Macaca fascicularis: one gene and its partner. The protein of the gene in region 2 purifies or fractionates together with the protein of the main gene of each other region. This does not show direct contact. Links are inferred from orthologs where the notes say so. Each region holds a gene or a part of one and is shown on either strand. Other genes may lie near its edges.

The links.
Region 1: the proteins of UBR2 (region 2) and UBE2B purify together in Homo sapiens (affinity purification with western blotting; 3 studies listed by BioGRID, with this or other methods). This does not show direct contact. The link is inferred for Macaca fascicularis from reciprocal best matches to the Homo sapiens genes UBR2 and UBE2B.

The regions. Positions count from the first base shown.
Region 1 is NC_088380.1:140,910,604-140,914,816, forward strand, and holds the start of UBE2B (ubiquitin-conjugating enzyme E2 B), read left to right. Parts: upstream 1-1,393; 5' UTR 1,394-1,522; coding exon 1,523-1,566; intron 1,567-3,695; coding exon 3,696-3,776; intron 3,777-4,213. UniProt on the Homo sapiens protein: E2 ubiquitin-conjugating enzyme that accepts ubiquitin from the ubiquitin-activating enzyme E1 and transfers it to a E3 ubiquitin-protein ligase. In vitro catalyzes 'Lys-11'-, as well as 'Lys-48'- and 'Lys-63'-linked polyubiquitination.
Region 2 is NC_088378.1:128,860,080-128,863,724, reverse strand, and holds part of UBR2 (E3 ubiquitin-protein ligase UBR2), read left to right. Parts: intron 1-833; coding exon of another isoform or gene 834-837; exon of another isoform or gene 838-871; intron 872-958; coding exon 959-1,036; intron 1,037-2,930; coding exon 2,931-3,101; intron 3,102-3,645. UniProt on the Homo sapiens protein: E3 ubiquitin-protein ligase which is a component of the N-end rule pathway.

The DNA.
Region 1 (4,213 bases), on a different chromosome or scaffold from region 2:
AGCTGAGAGAATTCAGGGTTTGAAGAAAGAGGTACAAGGAAAGTCGGAAAAGTTAACTCTGCTTCCATAGAACTAGGGGCAAGGTTGAGGCAATGCTAAGGTCCTCATTCCACCCTCCCTTTACCTGTTGAACCGAACAATTCCCCAAATGGATACAAAAGTACTCAGAGTCCTTAGTATAACAAAGTCCTGAAAGTAGGAATTAGCAGCAATACAGGGAAAGACAGTAACTACAAAAAATATTCAAGGTCTGTGGGAGGTCAACACCTCTGAACCCCCTGGTGGTGGGGGGGCACTTCTCGCCCATTTGCACCTTTCTTGCTAGTGTAAAAAACCTGAAGTTGTCTCAGGCTGGATAGATAACCCTCACTCAGGTCTGCTGGAGCTCTCCCCCACATATGAATCATATTTGTAGGTTTCTTTGACAACCAACCACTCATTGATATGCTTGGAAGACTGCACCCCCACATTCTTAAAAATACAATGGTACTCCCCCCCATAGGCAAGTCCCCGGACTCTGACACATATCTTCAATTGAAAGCAGACCCAGAAAGGAAAAACTGCATAATACACCATCCTTTAATGTTTGCCCAGAATTTCCAATACTAGAAACCCCACTGCAAAGCAGAAAGACTATTTGGTAGCTTCAAGGAACCATTTCAGGAGATTGTTGTGTGGCCCTCAGTATTCAATGCTGCCTTAGAAGATCTTGCGATCCTCTCTCTTCTTGCCCCAAGTACCAGAGTTCATAAGCCACTGAACCAACCAGAGGGGAGTTATTTTTGGTCCCGGTTTAAAGAAAACAAAACAAGCTGTTGATCCTCCCACGACCTCTTGGGTAATGTCTCTATACCTGTGATAAACCGAAAACAACTAATAAAGGTGTATCCAGCCCTCACCCTCTTAGACCCGCTTCACAGACCTGGCCGAAACTCACATCCAGGCGAGGCTCTCACGTGACCCGTTCTAAACGCGTCACAGGGACACGTGGTTCTAGATACTTCTCCCCCTCCCCCTCAGGGGTGGATTGTTGACAAGGCCGCGGGCAGTCACGTGATCTTACATCATCCCACCTCCTTTCCCTGAAATCCCTGGCCCGGATACGTCCTTCTTTCTCCACCCCGCCGAGCCTAAACTAGAGACGGGGAGGCAGACAGGATAGTGTGTCGGTTTCGTGGTCTCTGAATCCACAACCTCTAGTCTGAACACAGAGAACACAAATTTGTCGATCACTTCAGGAAGCCCAGGAAGAACCACGCCCCGCTGAAGGGCTCAGGGAACGCGCGCTCCCCCGTCCCGCCCCCTCCTCCCCCAGCACTCACTCTGTGGTAGCGGCGGAGGGCGGAGGGATCCGGAGGCGGCGGAGGGAGACGTCATTGCAGGGTTGTTTGTCAGTCTTGGCGGCGGCGGCGGCGGCGGCGGCGGCAGCGGCGATCCACAGTGATTCGGCCGCCGCGCCGGGGGGTGGGGGGGCTGCGCGGGACTCTTTTCTTTCAGACTGACCGCGGGGCAGCTGCGGAGCATGTCGACCCCGGCCCGAAGGAGGCTTATGCGGGATTTCAAGCGGTAAGGGCCTTCAGCTTCGCATAGATGACGGCCTCTCAAAGCTGCGGGGCTGCAGGGCGTGGATCCCGGACACCTTCCCCTTGTGACCCTCAGAGGGCCGGCTGTGGGCCCAGGGGGACTGGCGGAAGCCGGGTCCTACCTCGGCCCCTACTCTCCTTATCCTTGCCGCTCGCTCTGGCGCCCGAAGAAATTTCGATACTGCTTCCCCTCCCCCCAAAAAGTAAAACGATGTCGATCGACTGGTCTAGGGTTCCCCGCTGCCCATTTCGGCCAGCTGCCCGGGGTCTCGTCCAGGGGATCAGACGGGGATCAGACATCATCCTCCCGCCCCTGCACCCTGCGGAGACCCTTTCTTGTCCCCTCAAAGTGAGCTCCCGCGGGAGCTTGTTCTTCTCCGGCAGCACCAGTCAGCTTTGTTTCACGGCCCCTCAGTCTTCTCCGAGGAGCCGGGTTGGGGTGAACCTCCCCAGCCCCCCACCCTCGCCAGTCCTTTCCATTTCTGCCGTGAGGGTGGGGTCCAGTGCGTGAGGCTCGGAGGTTAACCCATCCCCCGAAACCCGACTCTGTCCCCGCCCGCCTGAAAAGACCTTGGGAACTGACTTAGAGATCTGGGACCTTAGAGCTGGCCACCCCGGCTGCCAGTGCCTTCTGGAACTCAGATCTGGCTGGTGAAGAAAGCCCTATCTATAGCCTCCCGAGTCTGGAAAAATGCCTTCCCTTAGACTGGCGCTAATTTGATACTCCCTGGGCCTTCTTTGGTAAATAAAATAGGGTTTTGTTAGGAGGTATTGGGGTTGTGAGGAAGAAAATGATTATTCCGTTAGTTTACCTTTTATTGGATACTTAGAGACGTAGAAAAAACAAAATAACGTAGAAAAAACAAAATAAGTGAGAAAACATTTTGATATTCTGCACATTTTTCTTAAAATTTTTTCTGGGGACACCTACCCTAATTGAACAAAATAGCATAAAAACATAGATTTGTCGCTCAGGAAGTCACCTCTCAGCTATTATAAAGCCTATGTGAGGCATTTGGATTTGGCCAACTTATTTAATTCATTCGTAGCTTCTCTTAGCCATTTAAAGGTAGGCGTCAAGCAGTGCAGTTCCTCTAAGGCTTCTGTTTGTGGTGGCCTAATTTGCTTGAGATTGACTAAAAACCTTTTTTTTTATGTGGACTAGTTGCAAATTATGATGCCCCATGAAAACAACTCCATATGTATTTGTGAGTGTGTATAATGTAGCATTTTTAATTGAGGTTACAGTCTCTGAAAGGAGATGCCCTTTTTGGTGCAAAAGTCATTTTTCTAAAGCTTGAAATCAGTGTATCTGATTAGCACTCATGACTAAAATTCAGATAGTAAACTAGTTCATGTCATTGTCGCCCTGGCTCCTTACTGTAATGCTCTGCTTAATTCTGAGTTGAATACATGGCACCTTTTGTAGTTTTCCAGAGATCTATAGGTTACAAGAATTTGACTATGACGAATGTGGGAAAGCCTTGTATTGAGTCTCCTGATTTGAGAGGTAGATTTGATGTTAGTGCAGAGCCTTTAAAATAGGGACTGGCGGAAAACCTACTGATTACTTTTTAAAGCCATTGCTGTTTGAAGCAAAAGGGATAGAGTAAATCTGCTGCCTAATACTAGTTTCCTAGTTAAATTTAATGTGTTTTCAGTCATTTCGTGTTTACACTGAGGTTTGCTTTTTTTTTTTTTCTTGTAGCCATTTTGCAGAAGTAGCCGTGGTTAGGATACACAGTCTTTGCATGTTTAGAGCAGCAAAATCAATGGTTCTGTAAAAATATTACTTGCTTTTGAGGTTTTAAACTTTTTTTGGTATAAGAGGACAGTCTATATACATCAATTCTTGAAGAGATACTCTTGATAATATTGAAAGAGGGATGATTCTCAAGCCCTTCGGATTTTTAGGTAATTTGGAGAGGTATTTAATAAGTATATATACCTGGTTAATATATCTAAGTCATATGGTTCATTTTAGTTCACAATAACAAGGAAATGGAGTTAGTCTGTGTCTCAAAATAGATGGTGTAGTGTCTGTAGGTGTTTATGTGGCCTCCTTAGTGGCCTTAATGTTCAACTTTTTAAATTACAACGCTGGATTTCTAGGTTACAAGAGGACCCACCTGTGGGTGTCAGTGGTGCACCATCTGAAAACAACATCATGCAGTGGAATGCAGTTATATTTGGGTGAGTTGAAAGGTTTAACAAATAATAGGTGTGTGCTGAATCTTTAAGAAAAGTGAACATATAACAACTGTCTAGGAAAAGAAACTGAGGTAGAATGAGAGATCTTAAGGACTAAAACTGCAAGATAAATTAGAAAAAAATTTTTTTCAATTAGAGTTTTGGCCCAGCACAGTAGCTCAACGCCTGGGAGGATCGCTGGAGCCCAGGAGTTCATCACCAGCCTGGGCGATATAGTGAGACAGTGAGACTCTGTCCCCTCTCCACCAAAAAAAGAGTTTTGGCCCAGTCTGGGCAACATAGTGAGAGACCTTGTCTCTACAAAAAGTATAAAACTAACTGGGCATGGTGGTGCCCAGCTACTTGGAAGGCCGAGGCAGGAGGATCACTTGAGCCCAGAAGTTTGAGGCTGCAGCCAGCTATCCAAAAAAAAAAAAAAA
Region 2 (3,645 bases):
GTCATTTCTTATCATTATTTTTCCTTCATTTCTTTTTACATTAATTCTATTCTGATTCTGTAGTAAAGTGTGCTCTACCAGATCCTAACAAGATGTGTCTCAACTGTTATTGTACAGGTTGCACATCTCTAATCCAGAAATCTGAACTTTGGAATGTCCCTATGAGCATTCCTTTTAAGCATCATGTTGGCACTCACAAAGTTTCAAATTACGGAGCATTTCAGATTTCAGGTTTTAACATTAGAGATAGTCAACTTGGATTAACAGTTGAGATGCATTTGTTATGATCTGGTAGAGCATGCTTTACTACAGAATCCAAACAGAAGTAATACAAATATTCCAAACTCTAAAGAAATTCAAAACCCAAAGCACTTCTGGTCCCAAGCATCTCAGATAAGGGATACTCAACCTATATCTCTTAGTTCTGGTAAATACACTGTCCATAAAAGTCAGAAGACTAGAGATTATCTGTCCTGTTTGTTTGCTTTTACACATCCGGAAATAACACTCCAATTTTATTAGGTTGGACCACATGAAATGTCCGTTTATAAGTCAAAAATGGTTGAATATCCAATTTCATGTGATTGCACCCTGATGTCAGAAAACTCTTAATAAATGGAACAGTAATCCTCAACCAGAAGTATACATCAGAATAACCTTGGGAACTTGAAAAAATACTCAGGCCACTACCTACTGAATCTAATTTCTCTAAAGTTAAAGCCCTAGCATGTCTATCGCCTCAAAATTCCCCCAAGTGATTTTGATACGATTAAGAACTACTGTCTAAAATAATCCCCCCTTCCGTTTAACTCCATTTCTTGTCTTGGCAATAGGTAAAGTAGTGAAAGGCCACACCGTGTTACCCGGGCTAGGCAGGTATGTGCACATGGAAGTGCCTCGTAGTATAATATGACCTAAATTAATGGAGCTTTTTTTTAATTTTTCCCTTTTTTTCCAGATATCCAAGAGAATCTAACAAATTAATAAACCTTCCAGAGGATTACAGCAGCCTCATTAATCAAGCATCCAATTTCTCGTAAGTTTTGCTGTTAGCATTGAACATCCCTGCCACTGGAAACACCTCTCTACAAAGAATTTGAAGGATTTTGTTGTTGTTCTTTGTTTTGTTTGGGTAGAGAAATCATATTTTAGTACTTTATGAGAGGAGGGAGAGAAAAAAGGGAAAAAAGAAGAAACTTGACCAGGCTCAGTGGCTCACACCTGTAATCTGAGCACTTTGGGAGGCCGAGGTGGGTGGATCACCTGAGGTCAGAAGATCCAGCCTGGCCAACTTGGTGAAACCCTGTCTCTACTAAAAATACAGAATTATCTGGGCGTGGTGGCAGGCACCTGTAATCGCAGCTACTCGGGAGGCTGAGGCGGGAGAATCACTTGAACCCGGGAGGCGGAGGTTGTAGTGAGCCAAGATCGAGCAATTGCACTCCAGCCTGGGTGACAAAAGCAAAACTCTGTCTCAAAAAAAAGAATAACATCTGTAGTACTCTATACTACGTAACTTATAAAAGCATCATTTCACTGTGTTTCAGAATAAGACATGGAATGGGAGTAGGAGGAGCAAGTTCGATTCATGAATGTTTAATAATTGCACCTAAAGTAATAACAGCCCTTAGTAATTTTTTTTTTTTTTTTTTTTTTTTTTTTTGAGACCAAGCCTCGCTCTGTCACCCAGGATGGAGTGCAGTGGTGCCACCTTGGCTCACTGCAACCTCCGCCTCCCAGATTCTAGTGATTCTCGTACCTCAGCCTCCTGAGTAACTGGGATTACAGGCACGTTCCACAAGGCCCAGCTAATTTTTTTTGTATTTTTAGTATCACCTCGGCCTCCCAAAGTGCTGGAATTACAGGCGTGAGCCACTATGCCCAGCAGTAATTTTTAATATAGTATCAAATATTTAACATACAAGCAGCATAAAGAATAATAGGGGAGGCTGAGGTGGGAGTATCACTTGAGCCCAGGAGTTGGAGGCTGCGGTTAGTCATGATCGTGCCACTGCACTCTAGCCTGGGTGACAGCGAGACCTTGTCTCAAAAAGAAGAATATAATAATGTAAGAGCTTAAACATTACCTAGACAGTTGAAGCTCCCCAGCTGTCTCTTCTCTGTTGCCTCTTCCTCCTCCCTCTGAAGATACCTACTATTCTAAATGGAATATTAAGCATTCTATTCCTATACATTAACCATAATAGGTTTATGTTCCTAAACAGCATATATTGTTATTTTGCATGTTTTTATTTTTTACTCTTTTTTTTTTTTTGAGACAGAGTGTCACTCTGTTGCCCAGGCTGGAGTACAGTGGTGTGATCTTGGCTCACAGTAACCTTCACCTCCCAGGTTCAAGTGATTCTCCTGTCTCAGCCTCCCAAGTAGTTAGGACTACAGGTGCGCGCCACCATGCCTGGCTAATTTTTGTATTTTTAGTAGAGACGGAGTTTCACCATCTTGGTCAGGCTGGTCTCAAACTCGTGACCTCAGTTGATCCACCCACCTTTGCCTCCCAAAGTGCTGGGGTTACAGGCGTGAGCCACTGCACCCAGCTGATTTTGCATTCATTCAGCACTGTTTCTAAGATTTATCTGCATTGACATGTATAACTTTATTGATTTTTCACTGCTCTACAGTATTTTATTATATGGCAGTGGCACCATTTATCTTTTTCTTCTATTGATGATTTTATTTATTTTTTTCTCCAGTTATTGATTCTTTTGAGTGTTTCCAGTACATGGTCTCTGTATATATGTGCAAGGTGTTTCCTATTCCTGATTCTAGGAATAAATTTGCATAGACTGTAGGATATACGCTGCTTTGGCTTTACTTGATATTGCAGAATTCTTTTCTGGGCTGGTGTTTTCTTCACTAGCTTTTTAGCCACTCTTTAGATCAATGACTTGTGGGTTTTTTATCCCTTGGAGGTGCCCCAAATCAGGTGGTGATAAGAGCAGAGCCCCAACTCTGTGCCTTGTGTGTGGATCTCTGCTGTGCTCCCAGAGTTACTGCTGCCAGACTGAGCTGGAAGGGGAGGATGTAGGAGCCTGCACAGCTCACACCTACTCCTGTGGCTCTGGAGTGGGCATCTTCCTGAGGTAAGGACCTGCAGGGGCTTTTTGGCTTTGGATCTGCCTCAGTATCTGACTGTTAGGGTGTCACAGGAAGCTATTGCATTGCCAGGAATTTTGAGAGCACTGTTCTGTGTTTGATTCATTCCAGAAACATGGAGCTCCTCGTCTCCTCACATCTCACATTTGGCCCGTGCCAACTCTGTGTTGGTTCTTTTATTGTCACCATTCCCACTCCTCTTCCCCCAACCATAGGCGACAGTTCTGTACTACTTTCTTCACGTCTCCCGCTAACATGAAACCTCTGATTTTGTGTACAAATCCAGTCAGAATTACTTTCTGTTGTGTCCTCATGTCCTCATGGCTTTTGGATTTTACCTCCATTCGTACATATTATCACAACTCTACATGCCAGCTTGTGATTAGTGACTACTATGTACTAGGCATTGAGAATGCAATAGTCCGCAGTGCAAAGATCTCTGCCCTCATGGATGGAGCTCGTTTTCTAATGAGAGAGAGGACAAGCAAGACTGACAAGAATTTAGATAGTGACACATGCTAAGGAGAAAAA